Linked DNA regions of Schizosaccharomyces pombe. The gene in region 2 interacts genetically with the main gene of each other region. Each region holds a gene or a part of one and is shown on either strand. Other genes may lie near its edges.

Evidence for each region.
Region 1: of rho1 (region 2) and rgf1, extra expression of one rescues a mutant of the other (dosage rescue), as found in Schizosaccharomyces pombe (one study listed by BioGRID).
Region 3: of rho1 (region 2) and btn1, a mutation in one rescues a mutant of the other (synthetic rescue), as found in Schizosaccharomyces pombe (one study listed by BioGRID).
Region 4: of rho1 (region 2) and mtl2, extra expression of one rescues a mutant of the other (dosage rescue), as found in Schizosaccharomyces pombe (one study listed by BioGRID).

The regions. Positions count from the first base shown.
Region 1 is NC_003421.2:1,243,390-1,249,970, reverse strand, and holds rgf1 (RhoGEF family guanine nucleotide exchange factor Rgf1), read right to left. Parts: upstream 4,786-6,581; 5' UTR 4,709-4,785; coding exon 2,027-4,708; intron 1,981-2,026; coding exon 658-1,980; 3' UTR 501-657; downstream 1-500. Other genes in the region: tudor domain and nuclease, Snd1, read left to right, coding at 1-414. UniProt on the Schizosaccharomyces pombe protein: Stimulates the exchange of Rho1 and Rho5 GDP-bound form into GTP-bound form. Controls septum formation, cell wall synthesis and localization of F-actin patches. Coordinates actin deposition with cell wall biosynthesis during bipolar growth.
Region 2 is NC_003424.3:4,222,375-4,226,353, reverse strand, and holds rho1 (Rho family GTPase Rho1), read right to left. Parts: upstream 2,284-3,979; 5' UTR 2,175-2,283; coding exon 2,104-2,174; exon of another isoform or gene 2,032-2,103; intron 1,869-2,031; exon of another isoform or gene 1,773-1,868; coding exon 1,235-1,772; 3' UTR 530-1,234; downstream 1-529. Other genes in the region: protein tam6, read left to right, coding at 3,461-3,706. UniProt on the Schizosaccharomyces pombe protein: Involved in the regulation of cell wall growth and actin cytoskeleton organization. Activates (1,3)-beta-D-glucan synthase.
Region 3 is NC_003424.3:2,049,909-2,053,707, forward strand, and holds btn1 (battenin CLN3 family protein), read right to left. Parts: upstream 1,841-3,799; 5' UTR 1,745-1,840; coding exon 554-1,744; downstream 1-553. Other genes in the region: protein Mil1, read right to left, coding at 1-252. UniProt on the Schizosaccharomyces pombe protein: Involved in vacuolar transport and vacuole pH homeostasis. Also required for cytokinesis.
Region 4 is NC_003424.3:3,957,717-3,963,435, reverse strand, and holds mtl2 (protein Mtl2), read right to left. Parts: upstream 3,688-5,719; 5' UTR 3,539-3,687; coding exon 1,928-3,538; 3' UTR 522-1,927; downstream 1-521. Other genes in the region: HECT-type ubiquitin-protein ligase E3 Pub1, read right to left, coding at 23-45, 97-113; SPOM_SPAC2F3.16 (ubiquitin-protein ligase E3), read right to left, coding at 4,830-5,369, 5,432-5,536, 5,592-5,719.

The DNA.
Region 1 (6,581 bases), on a different chromosome or scaffold from region 2:
TTCAAAAACATATCCTCTTTACCAGATACCTATACTAAATTGAAGCCTCAAGCGCAACTTGCTCGTCTCAGTTACGTTCAATTACCTCCTCCCAGCTCTGATTACTATGAAGACGCAAGACTCGTTTTCAGGGAGCTAGCCATGAATAAAGGTCTAGTGGCTAAAGTCGATGGACACGAAGGAAACGTGTATTCTGTAACTTTGTATAATCCTAGTGATGGTTCAGATTTTTCTGACTGTATTAATGCCCAACTGGTTGCGCTCGGCATGGCTAGTGTTATTCCCAAGAAAAAAACATCTCACTTTGAAAAAGATACCGCATCCCTCAATATTCTAGAAGAGCATCAGCAAGAAGCACGTCTAAATCATATCGGTTTCTGGGTATATGGTGATCCCCTAGAATATGAGGACTAAAAATATTTTACTTCTAGTATAGTAACATTGATCATATTCGCTAGTACTTTTTGCCTACAATATATCTAGTTATTCACTTTAAAATATTGTTAACGTATATATTTTAAAAAAATCTTATTTATCATTAAAATTCATGCACCTAAATTATTTTTTTAAAAAAGAAAAGAAAAGATAACCGAACAAACCAATATCCAATTAACCGTTATAAATAAAACGTGAAAATTAAGTTCAAAAAAACCAAAATTACTTGTCTACATGCTGCTCTTTGGCGTGGGCAGCAGCACTCGTCAATCGAAGGGAACAAACAACACTTGTCTCACAATTTTCACCACGTTGATCGCACGCATAAAATATTTCACCACCGTCCCCTAACTTTCCTCTTCCATCAGCAAGCAAACGGATGTTTCTGCCGGAAATGACATGGATCAATTCAGAGGTTTCAACATGTCTGATTTCAATAAAAGTGGGTTCAAAAGCCAATATATAAGGATAACTTAAGGCAAAGTTTTGAGGACTTCCTTCCCAAACAACAAACCATGTAGGACGAGAACGCCATCCATCTCGATTTACGTAAAAAGCAAATTGGGAATAGCATAAAAGAAATTCACCGCCATTCATACGATAGATAGCGATAGGTTTAACATTTTCTTTCTTCTCCACAAATTCAAGAGACGTATCGGCTGGATCCAGTAGAGACTGCGTCTCTAGGTTATCGAGACTGACCACCTCAAAACCTCTCGTACATCCGACACAGAGTTTATTCTTCAGGAAGTGAACCGAAGTTGATTCCGTGGGTATATAAAGCTCTTTGACAATCCTCAATGGGTCTTGGTTAACAGTAAGGAATTTTTTCAAGCTTGGCATGTTCCGTGTTTTAGAGTAATTAGTGACTGGTTCAAAAACCTTTATAGTAGCACTCAAGACGGAACTTTTGACAGCACACACAAGAACTTTACCCAGACAAATTCCTACGCGAAAGAAAGTTGTATGACCAGAAACTTTCCTTGCTTTTTTAGGGGCTTGAGTAGTATCCGCATCAATCATTTCCAAAGGATACGAATATAACACCTTATCGGAAAGCAGTAGCAATAAACTATACTCTTCAATAACCTCAAGCTGTGAAATGTTGGGAATATTTAACGCACGTACAGGCTTGAATTGAAGTGGGCTGTTTGCTTTTCGAAGAGAGACGTACACACCTGTGTCAGTCCCATATAAAAGTCGACGACCACTATCATAAACGCCTATCGCATTTACTTTATTATCACCAACAAAGAAATTAGAGCAAATGGTAACAGACTCAAACCACTGGTTACGATGTTGTAGCAATGTTTGTTGGTTGTCAATATGCTCTAACCACTTATCCCTACTAACTTCAGTGGTTGCATAAAGAGTGATTTCGTACCCTCTACGACCCAAAAGTTGTAAGCTAAATGGATAAAATCTAGAAGGTGGCTTCCCATTCGCTGCTTTTGATACAGCTGCTAGTTGTTGCTTACTTGAATAAGGGATTCTTAATCCATTATCATCAACAAGGAATAGTTGAAGAAGTAATAGAGGAATAGGCTATACTAGTTAGAAAAAACAATTTAAATGAATAGAAAAAACATACTCTTTGAAAAACTTTCAATAATTCACGTTTATTAATAGTCTTTGGTTTTACTATCAACAAAGCATGGTCAAAGAGAAACAAAGTAACATCCGACGCAGACTCTGAAGAAGTGGAACCAGCACTTCTTTTCTTCAAGGGTCCTTTGAATATTAATTGTCTGTTCGCATCAAGCAGATGTAAATCATAATGTTCTCCAGGTTTAAAGACCAGCTGTTGATTCAAATGAAACAAGTTAAACTTATTTTCTGCTTTTCCGCTTTCAACATTAAGACGTGAGAGAAATCCTCTAACGATATTAATGACCTTCGGAATGTCTTGTTTATCAGGGTTACCCTCATCAGTATATTTTAATACCGCTTCTAGAAGTAATGGATAACGAGCCAATCTGGTAGTTGGTTTAGTCAGATAGCCGTTTAGCTCTAGCTTTCGTGATTCTTTCAGACGTTCAACGTCACTGACAAACTTAGCAAATGCAGGATTAGATGACTTTTCCTTCTCAAACTCGTATTTTCCGTAGAGTTGGCCTGCACCATATCGTATGAAAGGCTCAAATTTTGGAACGTGCTCCAAAAATATATCCGCAATATTATCCACAATGGGTTTATAGTTTTGTCTTTTAGTAAGAGCTTCAGCCAATTTAGAATTAACTGCTTGAACCTCTAAAGCATTTAAAAACACAGTACGAATAAATTTTTCTTTTTTTCGTTCAGGTATACAAGATGAAGCCCATAGTGGTTTAATCCAATAATCCCGAAGATATTCCAAATCCTTAACAAAATCTCGCTCAGTATAGATAACCTCACAAATTACTTCTTGACGCTTTCTTTCCCGGTCACTGACACTATAAGCAATCTCCTGGGGTACGCTGTGAATCCACAATTTTTGTTCCTTATCATCAAACGCTAGGGAGGAAGACTGTTCAGTGTTTGCACGCATTTTGGCAAATAGTCTGTGCTGCTGTTCCAATCGTCGAGGACATGAAATAGAATAGCAGGGATGATCTTTTGCACATGTTGGAGAGTAACAATGCGTCAATAAAGTAAATATACCATTTGGAAAAGAAGTGTCACCTAACGTGGACGGTGAGATTCGAGTGCCCGACTCATTGTCCTCCAATTCCTTATGATGGTTTTTGTTGTTAATGGATGCATTATCATTTGCGCGTAAGAAGGGGCGATAACCAGTACCTTGAAGCTGATATATTTCACGATGAGAATCACGAAGACGATGATCATAGGTAACATCATGAATAAATTTTTGTGCATCTAAAGAGCGTCCGACAAGTAAAGCGAGATTTCTATCAGAAGTATGTATAATACCCATTAGCACGGTGACTGCATGATCGCCAGTAAAGGCATTAGAATAAATTAAACCGTCTTTCGTGATATCACCTAGCTGTAGTCTATCTAACAATTCGCTGGCAACACGAGAAAGTAAGGCAGCATATATTCTGCGTCTTCGTTTATTTTTATGAACAGGCGAGCTAGCTTCCGAATTAACAAACGTCGGCGTTGTTGTAGAGCTTCGATCATTAATTAGGGAATTTCCACTTGCACGGGACTTATAAGAGCTCAACGTAAAGGACCTTGCAGTAGGTTCAACACCAAGTCTCTGCTGCTTAACTGCTTCATAATGAGCCAAGGTAGAATGATCAAATGAGCGATTTCGCATATCATGTTCTCTGTCTCGTAATGTGGTAGAGGGACCATGAAAGACATTAGAAAAGACGTCCAACCCAGAAAAAATATTCTTATGGCTGCTAGCAGAAGCTATGCTTAAATGAAGATCCGCGGGATTGCTAGTAGATTTTGGTAGCTGAAGGGACTGGGCAGGTGGAGAAACGTTAGCAGGATATTCACTAACACTACGTATGAGAGGTGCTTGAGCTGCAGGAGTAACAGCATTGGGAAGTGTAAAGGCGGAATTAGAAGAAACAATGGGTGGGTGAGTTCCTGAAGTAAATGAATGAGAACCAACAGTGTGAGAAGAATCATCAGTTGGTAATCGAGAATTTGAAGAGAGAAAGGGATTTTTAGACGAACGAACAGGAGAGCCGTAAGGATAATTTTGATCGAGATGAAGGTTTGTTTCTACGGACTCTGTAACAGAAGAGACTGCTGAAAGGAGGTTCTCATCTACTGAATCCGAAACCGGAGACGTGCTACTCTGAGACTGACGCCGAACGAAAAAAGGATTTTGGTTGGAATCATCACCGGATGATGTGTGCCAAGTCAAAGAAGGGGAATTAGAGTTATTGGGCGCATGATTCGATACCTGAGGAAAATGGGGTGTGGTGTTTAAAGATGCATATAGAGCACCAAAATCATTTCCGTCTTTAAGAGTCAATGGGACGATCTGGTGATTATTTGAAGTACCAAAAACGGAAGGAAAAGATTCACTGTGCTCAATATTTTTCACAGGAGATGCTTCTCTCTGATGAGTTGGAGGTGCAGGAGGTTGAGACGATGGAGGCTGCAAACTCGTGGAACGAAAGGGCAAAGGTTTCCGAGGAAGCCTTCGCGTGGGAGGAGGAAGAGGTTTTTTTGAGACTGGAGCCGGTTCCATGAACGCAGGAGTACTTACAGTTCTCGCCGGCTCCCGTTTTCTTGGAGCACCAAAAATTTCCTCATAAGCACGCGAGCTCTCATTCACACCGAGTGCATTTGGATGCCGGTAATCCATTGCTACTATAAAAACAATCAGTTTGACGATCGAATCGACAATGCTGAATGTTTCCCGTGAAAACGAGGGTTTGGTGGTGGAGAAAAAGACAAGATAATTTGACCACAAACTTTCTGCGAAAGTAGCTACGAACTCGTTATAACGGTAAGATGATGAAAAATTCTAATTTATACGATTTTCTAAATCAAAGACCATTAATATGTAAATTGCGTATTGCTTGATGAATTAATGTTTTGCTTTAGTATATTGCTTTCACCTTCAATTTCTTTTGCATGGAGGGTTTCCACTCGAAACACATGCTAAAAGGCGACATAAAAAAAGGCTTTTGTTAGTGTTTCCAGAGTTGAATGTTTAAAATTTGATTTAAATTATAATAATAAGTTTATATAGCCGTCCTGGTTCGTTCAATGAAACAATTGATTTGTTTACTTGTCTGCTTAGCAATTTGAGAGAGCAACAGGTATATTAAGAAAAGATTATCCTCGAAGGGAAAAATACGTATACTTAATATATCAGAAGAATTGTTACAGCAGCAGTAAACCGCATTAATATTATGAAGGGATGAGAAGCTATAAGTCATCAGTATGCTGTTTTGGGCTAAGTTTATCTACTTCTTCTATAGATAAGGTGATTTCAATGTTGAATATGTAGTAAAAAAGTCTTGAACTCCTTAAAAAAAAAGTACAAATCTGAATTTTCACTAGTCCTAACAAAGTTAATATCAACATTCAACTGCATCCTGGTCGACTTTCCACTAAAAAAAAAAACGCTTATATAAAAAGGGAAGTCATGAATGAACTCCTTTACTTTATATTGCCTATTGCTTTTCTACTTGCTGCAATTTATGTGCTCACTTTTTCTGTCCGACCAGCTCATAATTGTATTACCGATTTACAAATATGAAAAACATCATCTAAAATAATTAGCTTTAATCCGGATAACCTCAATTGATCGATTTCTATGACTATGCTGTATTGACTTATTTTATTTTAATTGCGTTCGCATTGTTTACTATTCAGCTTGTGCTCAACATCATATAAATTGATCAAATATCTTTTTGTACACTTTATTTGCCCTATTTATCGTTTAAATCATGTAATCTAAATTTGGAAAATTTGCTAGTCAAAGACCAATTTTGTTCTTCCGTCGCGAACATACAACCAGCCATTTTCTTATCCACTCCGCTCGCCGTCCACGAAGATCCCTTGGTGGTGGGTTATAAGTTATTTAACATTTACACATATATTTAAAAACCATAAAGTCCTATAATCTTTTCTTAGGCATCGATTTTGATTTATCCCAAACGTTTCATTAGAAGAGGTTGTTTTTTTGATCAAGTCATTACCTTTCATAATATACTGCTTTTGCTTTCTCTCTTTCTCTGTCTATAAACCTACGAAACTTGATTCCTCTGAAACGCTTGGGAGCTTTCTTTCCTTTTTGGGTTGTTTCAATCAGATCATCCTATATTATTCCTTCCGCCCTAACCCTTTTATTGTGGCATCACAAACCGAATAAACAGACTGTTGCATTGATATTGCGATACAATTCTTTCTTTCTTTTTTTCTTTCTTTCTGTATTCGTAATTTTATGTCAAAGTCTTTTATTAATAGAGGACGGGAGTTTCTCTGGTTCATCGCATAACTTTGAAAGCATCAATCGTTTTCATTCCGGCTTACTATAAAATTGCTTTTTTTGAGGGCGTACGAGATTGGTTTGCATTTTTTGAATTCCATTGACACTGAATTTGTTCTATTTTAATTTATTTTCCCTTATTTTATTCCATTTATTAATTTCTCTTCGCATTTCTTTCTTTTTTTTTATACTCTTCTTTCTCAATTCCTTTTTCTATCTTTTTTCACCTCTCTTTTCT
Region 2 (3,979 bases):
ATTGATAAAGTATTGTTTCCTTGATTTATAAATTGTAAAGCTAAGTTGAGTTAGCTTTTTTGTTAAGACCTCTCAACTTTTAGATTTAAGATTTTGATTCCCATTTCTGTTGTAATATGTAACCTTACTAATGCTTTACATTAAAGCATGAAGATTTCGACTCTGCATTTTACTTATAAGCACTATAAAAGGTACACATAGAGATAGACAAACAGCTTTTAGTAGCTACAAAAACTTTGTTCTTTTCCCTTTAATTCACTATTTGCTCCCTCGCAATTATCCTTTTTTTTAGGTAAAGTCAACAATGCTTATATCTTCATCTGATAATCTTGCCTGTAGACAGAGTGAAAATCAAATGGTAATACAAATGCATAGATAGAATAACAACGGTCACCTTCAAAACATGAAATTGCAAACATTGGTATGCTTGACGTAAAGAGAATGAGATATAAACAGTGTGCAAATTTCCGCAAAATACAAAATGTTTAAACCATCAACTACGGCTATCTGCTACTTCGACTATCAACGTGTATAAAAATACCAAGCGCCTGTATACCAGCAAGGTTATCAACAGAGATAATGTCGCTTCAATTTTCTACAATAATTCTAGTGCAAAATTGGAGACCCAGCTAAAGTTCCACGATAATAAGCAATTACGTGCTGTGAGAAAGCTTATAAAATATTCGGGTTTTGATCGAGTTTCAATCGAGGTGTATATTCTTTAAATTACCGATTTATAAAAATTTACCAAGTCCTTTGACTAGGTAGAAAGGATAATAATGATGGCAATCCTTAACAAAAGAAACAAGGTATTATAGGAAAAATAAAACCATGCAATAACAAGGCAATAAGGGAAATTTTCTTCAAACTAATAGCGAAGAGTATAGCAAAGTAAGCAAAGACTGAAAACAAGACGCATACTCCTTGCAGGTGCCTATACGTTGCAGAACAGTGAGGGGAAATGGTAGAACAGCTATATGAAATGCGCTTAAATCATTGCCAAGCTGACTAAATGGCACGACTTGAGGTAAGTAAAAAGGAAAGAATGAGAGGATATAATGACTATGTAACATGATAGGCCACACAATGCAAAACTCCCACCAAGGTGAAGGTGAAATAAAAATCAACATAAGTCGAAAAAATACGGAAACTTGTTGAATGTGCTTCGACTGAAGAGATGTATAAAAACAGAAAAGATAAATTCTCTAAGTTAAAAAATTTGGAAACAAGCTGTTTACAACAAGATACAACGCTTCTTCTTCTTAGTTCCACTAGAGGGCTTCACTTTGGGCTTGTGTTTGAGCATAGCAGCACGAGTGGCTGATTCAAAAACCTCACGAACACCTTCATTCGTCTTGGCAGAACACTCAAGGTATTTGTAAGCACCAATCTTCTGAGCTACTGCTTGACCTTCTTCTGTGGTGACGGGATGCTGATTAGTCTTGGATAACTCCTCAATAATTTTTGGGTCGTTACGGAGATCAGCCTTGCAAGCGACAAGCAAAATAGGAAGACTGGAACAGAAATGGAGAACCTCGGAAATCCATTTTTCTTGAACATTGTCAAGAGAATCGGGAGAATCAACAGCAAAGCAAATAAGGATAACATGTGAGTCAGGATATGACAAGGGACGTAGACGGTCGTAATCTTCTTGTCCAGCCGTATCCCAAAGAGCCAACTCAACGTGGCGTCCATCAACCTCAACATCAGCTACATAATTTTCAAAAACAGTGGGAACATAGACCTCGGGAAAGGTTCCTTTAGAAAATACACTATAAAGAAAAATGTTAGAAGTTGTATAACAATGACACAGACTCGTGAAACATTGCAGATAAGCAAGCAAAGAGTAAGTAGAAATACAGGGTACGGAGTGCAAATTAAATCCTCGGAACATTTATTAAATGTAATCTAAACCCCATCTAAGTCTCATTTCTATGGGGATTCTTTCATTATTTTCTTGAGGCAATGAACATGCTTACGGAAATAATTTTCTTCTCCAGCCATGCTAAGCAAGAGATGTAAACCCTTGCCAATTTAAAACAGGCCCAAGCAACTACTTTACCCTTCTACTACCTTTCCGACGCTTGCACCATTTTTACTTACATTAATAAGCATGTTTTACCACATGCACCATCTCCCACAATAACGAGCTTTCTGCGAAGTTCTGTCGCCATCCCTAGATTTGTTTACTTTCTCCTGCTCTAGACAGAAAAATTTCGACGTAAATAAACGTTTTTCGACTCAAATTCTGACACCGCTCTTTCCTTCGATGTGGCAGTGGTTAGCTATTTACTAGGCTGTCAGCGGCTCATGTAACAACGAAAGGAAAGAAGGAGACGCTACTACACTTCACTAAATCTCGTTACTTTGCCCTAGCGCTCTTATAGATGAACCCTTTGAGTATGTATGGACGAGGCTGAGCCTGTACAGAGTGTAAAGTGCAATTAAAACAGTTTTATTACAAAAAGATTGTCTCCACTCCGACTTGATGTCAACAGACGTTTTTTTGTTTGAATCACAAACGCCAAAAAAAGCAGAAACCAGCGGAAAAATTTCGTTAACGTATTCAGTTTAGTCATAATATTCGAAGATAACGGAACGCATTTAATCCGCTTATCCTATTTTAACGTACACACTTTATTTCAGTATTTTATAAATAATAAACATAGCAGGAATATAGAAACTTTTGGAAGAGACATAAAGAAGCAAAGCTTCGTATAAATAGCTATAATTATAATTGTATACTCATAAAATTAAACAGCATTCTATTTGTAAAATGCAAATGTGAGATGAATTCCTAAATTCAAAAAGCGGCAATTTTTGGTGCCGAAAAATAATTTTACATGTCAGATTGAAGTAATAAAGCAATATTACGATGCTCTTTCTTTCTATCGTCGTTTTGTTTGCTCTCTTATTTCTCGAGATCAATAAAATCCTACTTTAATTTTACTAAAATTATATCGCCCAAAAAAATATTGATCCGGTAGCAGATCTACAAATATACAAAAATGAAATGTAACTTTAGCCTCTTTTATTCTTCTTCATAGTTAAAATAAAACAGACGGTTTCAGTAGATCTATAACTTAGCTCTTAACTCACTACTTTGTCTCTTTTAACTTTTGCCATTGATTCATTTCAGTACTGGAGAACATAAGACCAATATATTAAACAGTTTGAACAGCGCGCCCTATAGATTTCCCACAAATTGAAAGAGAAAAAAGTCCTGAGTCGTTATTATTGAACATCTATCAAATTGGATACCGTATTATTGATCGCTGACATTTCATTTTGTAGTTGACAAGAAAAGAAAAAGCGGGTTGAGTAAACTTTACCTTTTAGTGCTTTAATCTTGTTTATAAAGTGAAAGTGGTTGAAAGCTGTGTGGCCTCTTAATTATACACATATATATTTACGCGGTTACTTTTTTTTTATAGTTTATAAATTAAACTGATAGCTTTCGATGATGCCATCATCAAGTTTCCAACAAACTCCCAAACCCGTCGATTTAGACGATCCAAGGTTTGAACAGTACGATTGCTTGCCATGCCGCTTGGTGGGCGCAGGCGCTTTCACAGGTCTAGGAATATATGCCTATTCGCAATCTAGAATTCCTTTGAATACACCCAATTACAAGCTTAAACGATTCGGTATTTTGGGAATGGCTTATGGATTTATTCTTACCGGTGTCTATAGATTGTTTCAATAAAATGTTAATAAACGTCGTTTTCTATTATCAGTTATCTTAAGACGTGAAGAAGTAACTTGAATCAGAAGTAAATGTTTTTTACTAAATTGCATTTTAATCAAACGGGTGAAGTTTTTTTGCTTTCTGATGCACATCCAACAAATATGCTTAAATGGTAACTAAACCTATACACTATAACAATTATGGAATAAAAGAAAAGAAGCAGAAATGAAGGGAAAATTCTGAAATATAATTAAAAAAAGAACCATAAATAAAAAAAAGGATGCGAATACA
Region 3 (3,799 bases), 2.2 Mb from region 2:
TTCTACTTGATCCTTTGGAGTAGAGGGATCCAGTGCGCAACCTGTGCGATTTACAACTGCCATTGCCCAAGTGTCGAAGTTTTCTCTAAAGACGTCCAATAATTGAGAAAGATATTTTACTATTTCAGGATCCGTGTTATCGATTATTGACTCTTTCTTCTCTCGCATTTCACCAATTGTACTAGCAATTAAAATTGTATAACGAGTACAAGCATCATCGTCAAATAAGGATATGATTTTCTGTTCTGCCATATTATCTAAAAGAAGGAAGATATGAAAAGGAAAAAATTAAGTAATGTATGTTTTGATATGATTCGCATAGAATGCACAGCAGAAAGTAATTGTGCACCAAAAGTTTAAGAACTTCTGGTATCAGGAATTAGGAATGAAAAACTTCTTCTTTCAAAGCAAACCTATTAAGAACTAAAAAAGTAAACAATAGTTGAAAGAAAATGGTCGTAAAGCAAACTTGATATTGAAGCACTTAGCACACTAATGGAAGAAACGTCATAGGTTAACTCTCAATATAATGGAGATGTGCGCACTCACTATTTCAAGTTAAGGCACACCAATCTCGGCCACGATCAGCTTGGAAATGGCACAAGGAGGGTTCAAGGAATAGTGATACCAATGAAGCTAAAAAAATTCCAGAGCTATCTGAAGAGCCAACAGTACTAATAGCTAGTTCACGCTGACTACTCTCCGTAGTCTGCAAACTATGATACACGTTCACATAAACGGTACCACCAATAAGACCCTCAACGAATATGAGGAATAGTACAAAATGATAGCTGGAAGTAAGATATAGGGCCGACTGTAGTATAGTAAATAGAAGGATAATGAACTGTGTTATTGCCAATGTGCGCAAATATGGGACAGTAAAAAATGAAATGGAGGATCGCGATAGGAAAACACCAATCTGGTAAACAGTTTGGTAAGTAGGATAAAAATCCCTAAACGAAGAAAAGCCAGCTTTTTCGGGCGGGAATAAAAGAGTGGGAGCTACACCAATATTGATAGTATATTCTGAGAAGTATACAAGGAACTGCGGAAACATATGACTAAGAAGGTATGGTTGCATGAATATGAATGTTTGCTTCAAAGAATTAACGAAATTGAATGAAACGTGCCCTGCTCGAAGATCAATAGATTCAATTGGCGTATAATTGTTGTTAATTGAAGGTGATGTAGATTCAGACTCTGGCAACACAAAAAAGTACATGATCAAAAGGAAAAGCGGCAGAAAGCTAGAGATAATAAGTGTGCTGCGTACCGAGAAGTTAAACCATGTAGTCATAACCAAATAGGAAGATGCACCAAAGAGACCGGCCAAGCCTGTTCCGGAACTCCAGCACGGTAAAGACACAGAGTGATAACGACTTGATAGATGCAAGAAAGAGATTTCGCCAAAACTCGATGAAATGGCTGCCAGAGATACACCAAGCATTTTCGAAGGGACGGAGGAAGACCAAGCAATCCATTGCATTCCTAATATGGACATGAAAACACAAAAACCGATTCTCTTTGCAAACTTAAATTTATGAACATGAAGAATTGATGCTGACAACTTGCACGCCAAAGAAGGAACAATATTAGAAAGTAGTACCACACCCTTAGAAACGTTTGCGCCAACCAAATCTAAGGCAGCGGATAAAATTATCACGTAGAGAAGGTTGTTTAACAATCCAAAAATTAGGAAGCAACACCCTACTTTCGCATCTTTTGTTAACCTCAATTTAATCATGATTCGTACTATATTTAGTAGAAACTGAGGTCATAAATTTTAGTTTGAACCGGCAATACGATAGTAGACTTTTGTAAAGTGCTAGTCTACAAATTTGCTGTTGTTTCGCAAATAGCACACTTTAAAGCCCTTCTATCGATGACTTCATAGACGAGTTAACTTGTTACAAACTGTAAATAGCGAGGATCAACGAACTGAAAAGCAAGTCGAGATATGTTTAACATTTATTATTCGAGTAGCAATAAGTTGAAGAAAAGAACTCGTAAGCGCTTAAGGGTACAAAAAAAATTGAGTTTTTAGTAACTTCGTAAGAGAAAGGCTACTACCCTTCACGAATGGCGTATTGAGCGATTGAATTATTACGGTAATGTTGTCAGGTTCAAAAGAAACCGATTTTGAATGTTACACTGTTTTTTCCAAGCAACCGCTATCAAGCTAAAGCTTACCCTACTAAAATTTCAACGACTAGTAACTGACATGCCTTGCTTGCTGTGATCGAAAAGCTCCTAGTTTACTCATGCTTCGGTTAGCACTTCTTGAAATCTCCCAGGAAAACAATTACAACATCTTTAAATATTCTATTCACGTGTCTACAGCTTCTACTTATGAAGTTATTGTTTTTGGCACGAGATTTATTTTGGTTTAATTCCGATCTTCGTTTGCTTATGTTTAAAAACTCTAAATCGTAAATCAAAACAAATTGAATATAATATCGTATGAATGTGTCTTTACCGAACTACGGTTAACATCGTTATTGCATTATCACTTTGCTCAACAATAATATAAAATAGTAATACGCATGTATCTACTATAGATATTTCGTATTGCTTAGTCAATTTTTTTTTTTTTTTTTTACTAAATGAAGGTTTGACGCTCCGTTACGACTGTTTATAATAACGAATTGGAAACCGAACCGAAAAATCATCTCGTTCATTATCAAATTTGCCTTGTTTGCTTTGACCCATAACACATTACATTTAACAGTAATGGGATCATTATGTTAGTTACTGGGAATTATATTATGCTTGATGCTGTACTACAAATTTATAATACTGTCCATAGAAAGTGCGATATTGGCGTTTTAACGAGCGTTTCGCTATCATTCTCTAGTTTACAAATCGCACCTCACCATGGTTCATAAATCCAGCAGCTACAGCAAACAGCTGTTTGCAGACGCACTTTAGAGTTTGAATTTTAGAATCTCTTTTAAGTAAAGCTAAGAGACTTATAATCTCTTAGATTTCCTTTGGTTTTATATTAACTTCAATGAGCATAATGAATTATTATGCGATCACAGTGCCATCGACATGTTTCAACATTTTTTAAGCACATGCTGTTAATACTATTTAATCCACTAAACTTACTAATGAGAGTATCCTTTTAATCTACTGATAAACAAAAGGAGTTTTCGTGCTGTAAAATGGTAATTTTACAGTACCACCCTCTCCCTGTAATCGAAAATGCATACCAGATATGATGATGCACTCATTTTAACTCTCTTTAAACTATTAAAGTATATTCCATCATTTCCGTACCCTCGTTTCAGAATGTTCATATGCGACTTGTATAAACAACTCATATAATCTGAATGCAAAACTTCCCTCATTGTTAGAGATGATCATGTGTAGATCATCAAGTAAAAAAGATGGACGATGTGCGCTTCAATGAGTTAACACTCGCATCAAGCTTTTGGTAAAGCCTTTGACTCCTATTTTTTTTGCTCAGCCTTGTTATATTTTGTTTAAACCAGTAAGAAACTGATTAATAAAAGTTTCCCCACACTTTTGAATGTTTTGTCGAATAAGCACTGTTTTTCTGTTTGTTTACAGAGTCGATTGTTTCGGTTTGAGTGATATTTAAAGCAGCATTTTTTTTGTATATATAGAGCCTTTAGTACGAACTTTCTTTTCTTTACCGATTGATTTTTGTCAAATATCATTACTGTTGCATTCTTATCTTCTTGTGTCAATATTTTTTTTTCGGCACCTTGTGCTTCTTCTGATCGCAATTTTGTTTAGTATCGATATCGCGATTTTTTTGACTCTTCTTTCTTTA
Region 4 (5,719 bases), 260 kb from region 2:
TTTGAATAATGTCATCACATACTTGTTACTCGAATTCGACGAGATCTAATCATAAAAGTTAGCAAATGTGTTTATAGCAGTTAAAGAACTACTTACTGAGCTGAGTTTGACATAGGGGGAAAAGATGGTAAAATTTCAAACCAGCGTTGCTTTTGGATAATAAAAAAAAGCCAATTTCCCAAAGAAAGTCAAGTATTTGTGCTTGCAAAAAAAACTTTCAATTAAGGCCGTTTTATCCTTTCTATTTGATACAAAAACGCTTTTTTCGGGAACGAAATAAATAAAAAAGAACTACAAAAGGAATCCTTAATCAAATTCGTGCTTTCAGCGCACAATTTTGAAATCCGTCGGATTTCGCGTGGTGTTGGCTGAAAGGAGAATTAATCGGTCTTGCAGATTAGATCCTTAACGCATTATAACCCATTTCCTTATATATATACAACGCGATTACCAAATTGTTCTTTATCTTTTTTGGCGTACAGAAAATACGTTTTACGTGTTAACTACGAAAGTAAATATCATGCAGCACAATGTATGATTTGCAAGCTATAAGCATTTAATAAATTGATTTAATACGAAAGAATGAGGAAAATGTATATCTAACCACTTTGCGTTCAAGTGATAGTTAGAACTGAGAAGAAAGAGAGGAAACGAAGAATTGTAAAAGGTACATACAAGAAGGCAAACGGAGTGCCGCGAATAAAAGTAATAAAGCCAGAACTTAGCAACAACTCTTAAACAGACAATGCTCAAAATTTTTATTTTTTAATTATCAGTAGTCGAGCATGCTGGCCAAAACAAAGTTAAGTAAACATCCAGCCACACGAGAGAAAGTAGAGCTAGATGGTCCTCAACATGACGAAAGAGTAAGAGCGATAAGTGCAGCGAAGGGAACGTGACGCTCCATTACATATACGAGACGGTGAAAAAGGAACGGAAGGAAAAGAAAAGGAAAAAGTACAGTATGTACATTTATTTCAAAGAAATGAGATAACGAGATTGGTTAGGCGACTGAAAGTAAAATTGAAATGGCTGGTCATAAAGACTATTTGCTATCCACTTTCAATAACAAGAAACCATGGGATGGAAAACAGGTAGCTGTTAAAAGTTTCATTTCGTTTTACACTATTCAGGAAAATTGGCTTTCCGTCGCATTTGACAAGAATTCGCCATTCTGTAAAGAAATGTACAAATGAAAAAACAAAGCGAAACGGCGAATGAAACAGAAATGATTGATAAGTAATGAAATGCAAATGAGAAAAGGATAAGAATAAACAAACCAAAGAGACTTTTTTAAGGGTTGTATCTCACTACAGTGAAACAATTGAAAGAAAAATTCAAAAGTCAGTCAAAAGATGAAGTCGATTTAAAAGCAATAAGTTAAGGAACCAGATGACATATTTAAGACTTTGAATGAAATGCAAGCAACGAAATTTTCTTAAAAAAAGAGGGCCATGAGAAAAAGCAAATAGTTAAGTTTAAAAAGAAAGTTTGAAAGAAGGATAAATAGTTTGCTAAATAACTCCTTTTTTAAAGAAAGTAAACCGACGGACCAATTGATTGTATGAGATGGTATAAGCGAAACCCATAATAATAACAAAGCTTTGCAATGAGAATGTGAATTTCTAATACCATAAAACTGTTCAAGCAAAAAGGAAATGAGTGAGTAACGGTAAAACAAAGAGATAGCAATAAGATTGAAAAGATCGATTACTTAAGATTTTCGTAAAAAACAAAGGTAAAAGCCGAATAAAGAAAAAGTTGTTATACGAAAAAGTGATGAGCAAGCTTTTCTTCGCAAGACTTTCTACCATCAATTGAAGGCAAGCGTAACTAACGCATTTATTTTAAGCGACGGATATATCCAGAAATTGTAAACAAATAATTTTTGCTTAAATCTATCGCAACAAGTGTTTAAGCGCATACTTTAAAACAGGTTCAACCTGCGAGCTTCCGATGACGACCGAGGAATAGAAACGTTGCTACTTGATGGGTTGTCAGCAAAAGGTGAATAATTGGGCTGGTTAGAAGCACCAGTGCTTGTTGGGGAAAGAAGATTGCTTTGAGATCGACTAGACAGAGCTGCCCTCGAGCCGTAAGAGGATTCTCCAGCTAAATCACTAGCCATGCTTTCACTGTCACTTTCAGGAATCGTAGCTAAAGGACCTTCTGGATAGGAATCTGAACCAGAACCACTGTGTTCTGCAGCTTCGGCCGCAGCTCCAGCGGCACCAACAGCAGGGCCTGACTCAAACGGAGATGCAGACAAACCTTCAGAAAAGTTGCTTCCATTAGATGGAGGCATTGTAGCTTCAGCTTCGTTAGAAGCAGAAAGATCAGGTGGATTTCCAATCGGTCTAACCATACGGGCTCCTTGAGGACGAGTAAAGCTTCCACCAGTATTAGCTGCATCAGAAGCATCAGCACCGACACCAGCAGCGGTAGCAGCTGCAATTGGACCAGCTGAATTACTACTGCCACCCAAAAGGCCGGGCTGAGAAGCTGCAGGCGGATTGGCTCCGCCAGCGCCGGCAGAAGGTCTAGGAGCAACAGGCCGTCCGTTAGTATTGTTTCCAGCAGCAGGTGTTGGGCTTCCATTCCAGCCACGATACCTGTTATTAGTAGAGGGAGCACGATTTGGGCTACGGAAATTGGAGGGTTGATTGGGGTTAAATCCGTATTCCTCGACTTCTTGCATGCGCTCAGCCTTAATTCGTTTGGACCGTTGATGCCTTTTCCAAAGAAAAATTCCTAAACCAATCAAAATTAGAACTACACCAACAGGAATAGCAACAGAACAACCAACAACTACGCCGACATGATTGCTTGACTTGTTAGATTTACTGGGCAAAGTGCCACTGGAAGAATAAGAAGAGCTAATAGGCGTAGACGAAGTGCTGGAAGTGAAAGAACTGGAGGAATTCCAATTATTAGTAGTAGTGGGGGTCACCACTTCAGAAACGTAAGAAGTTGAGACCAATGTGATTATTGAGGGTCCATCTCGATACGTACTACTGACAATGCTGGCTGAAGAACTCAAGCCGCTCGTAGTCATGGAAGAGCTGTGGTAGGAAGAACTAGATGATGGGACACTAGACGAATGGCTTAAGGAACTACTGGACATCCCACTGGAGGAACTACTAGCGACAAGAGAACTACTGCTGCTGCTAAGCGCGTGACTCGAACTACTGGAGGTCGGGGAAGCACTGCTACTGGAAGTCAGTGTAGCACTGCTACTAGAGGTCAATGAAGCACTGCTACTAGAGCTTTGTTGGCTGCTTGATGAGACCAAAGATGTGATAAAAGAAGAAGAAGCAGGAGAAGTAAAAGATGAGGATGAAAGAGGTGAAGACGATGATGAAGAACTAATTGCAGTAGCACTAGACGATGAAAGCATAGAGCTCGAACTAGAAGGAATCACGCTTGAGCTACTCAAACTCGTACTAGCAGCAGCAGAAGAGCTGCTTGCCGGAATACTGCTAGAAGCAGATGAGCTGAGGGAAGTGTCCACACTTGAAGTATTGTTCGTGAATGACATTTTCTCTTGCGTGCGAATTCCCTTACAGAAAGAAGGTTTTTTGAAGTTTTTAAAAGAACGTTGGATTTTTTTTCTAGAAAAATAATAAGATCTCGTCCAATTTCAATGTATCTTGATGAATTCCCTTAAAAGCACGGTGAAGAGTAAGCGGTAAAGAGAAAATGTCGCGGTCCTGCTTGGCTTTGCCTATAGGTAAGGGTGATGCACTTTTCAATGTGGGGATTCTTTCCGAGTTAGTTTCGAGGCTTTTTTTCACCTTACCAATATGTTACCTATCAATGCTCTAGCAAAGAACCTTAAAGTTACGAACCAGGTGAAATTTTACTAAGGCAAATTATTCATTTCAAATGGCTGGATAAAAAGAGATCGCCGTTAACTTGCGCTTAATGAGAAAGCTACCACAGTTTTCACATACTGCAATATTCATATAGATTTCCCTAATTTTAAATTACTAAACATCCGCAACAGTAGATGCCATTTACTACTGGCTTGAAACATATGGCTGCATTTGACACTATCGTTTCCACGCGGTAATTGAGTTAACCACCTTACATAGTAACAATGTATTGAAATTTTATTCATGCCAAATTAAATTGATATAGTAGAAAATTAGTATTATCGCTTCATCTGACTAGTAACTCCGACTAACAACCCATCCACGTTACTAAACCTGCTCTTAAGAGACAACTGCAAGTGTGGTAAAAAAATTTTGTAGTTGGATGCTGCTAAAGAATCACAACGACAGATAGAAAAGTAACAAGAATAGTTGCAGTAACTTGACGAATGATCGCATCTTCTAGACAAAAAGTCAGTTTAAAAGGAATCTGAAGGATTAGATGAATATGGAATGACAATAAACTCTTTATTTAATGAATGCCAGCCGTAAAAAAAATCAAGACAAATAACATATAAGTCATAATAACAGGAAATTGAAATATTGAGAGAGGCCCAGAATTGCATGAAGCAAAGTCCTTATGTTTGCGAATGTTTCAAGACACCATAGCTTCACACAAAAGTAGATGAGTTTAGATTAATTAAAACAGAAATTCTCTTCATCGAGGAAATTTAAGCGATTTACTTCATACCATCGCTTGACTTGTTGAGAAAAAAAACCATATAAGAAGTAGATGCAAAAGGACGAGAAAAGGGAATAAATATAATCAGACAATTGGGGTAAACGTTAAAAATTCGTAATTCTTGCAAAGAATTGAATGAAAATAGCAACTTTTCCAAAATAATAGTACATATAGGATAATCGTAACAGTTTAGGAAGTTCATAAAGTTAGAAAATCTATATAAAACTGTGAATCCCGAAAATATTAAAGTCTTCATCGCTGTTGTCCCAAGAATGTCCCATTAGCCGTCGCATACCGGCATCCTCAGCGGTTGCCAGTCGAGGGATAGACACCTGTGGGTGATCCAAAGGTTTGTAAATTGATGAAATACAAGTATTGTAAGAATGACATGAATTACATTTATGACCCAAGAAATGGTATTTCGTATCACAACGTGAGTTACAGTCATTGCAACGGATGGTAGAAATCCAAGTGTTATAGGGATAAGGCATGGGTTGTCGTTCAATTTCCATATCTAAAATTCGAAACAATGAATTGACATTAATGATCGTTTTGTAACAAGTAGGACAACGATAATTGGTTCTTATATATTCTTCATGACATCGCTGGTGCAACGGATGAGAGCAACTTAAAAAGATTACGCGTTCGCGAGAGTTAAACATGTATTCACCACAAATTGGGCAATTACAATCCGTACTTCTTTCGATGCAACGATGAGTATTGAAAACCGAAATAGGTAAACAAAGGCCACAAGTCTACAGCTGTTAGAATATGAGTTTAAAAAGCAAAGCATGTGCTAAAAGTACACGAAAGTTACCTTGCAGTGGAAATAATCATCGCCAAGACCGCGTCCTATTCGACAAATACCACAATCATCACAATGATAGCTACTTTTATTCGGATCGTCATCCCAAAGTTTGCACTGTTAAGTCATGTATTAGTGATATTGAACAAGTATCAAATAAAATATCACATACCTTATTGCAGTAATATCGGCCCATACAGTTCTTACAGTATTTGCAATATTGAGCTGCTGGTTGAACCTTGGAACATATCATGCAAAGCATGTTTTCTACGGCAGGTCGTTCTAAAACATGATCACAAG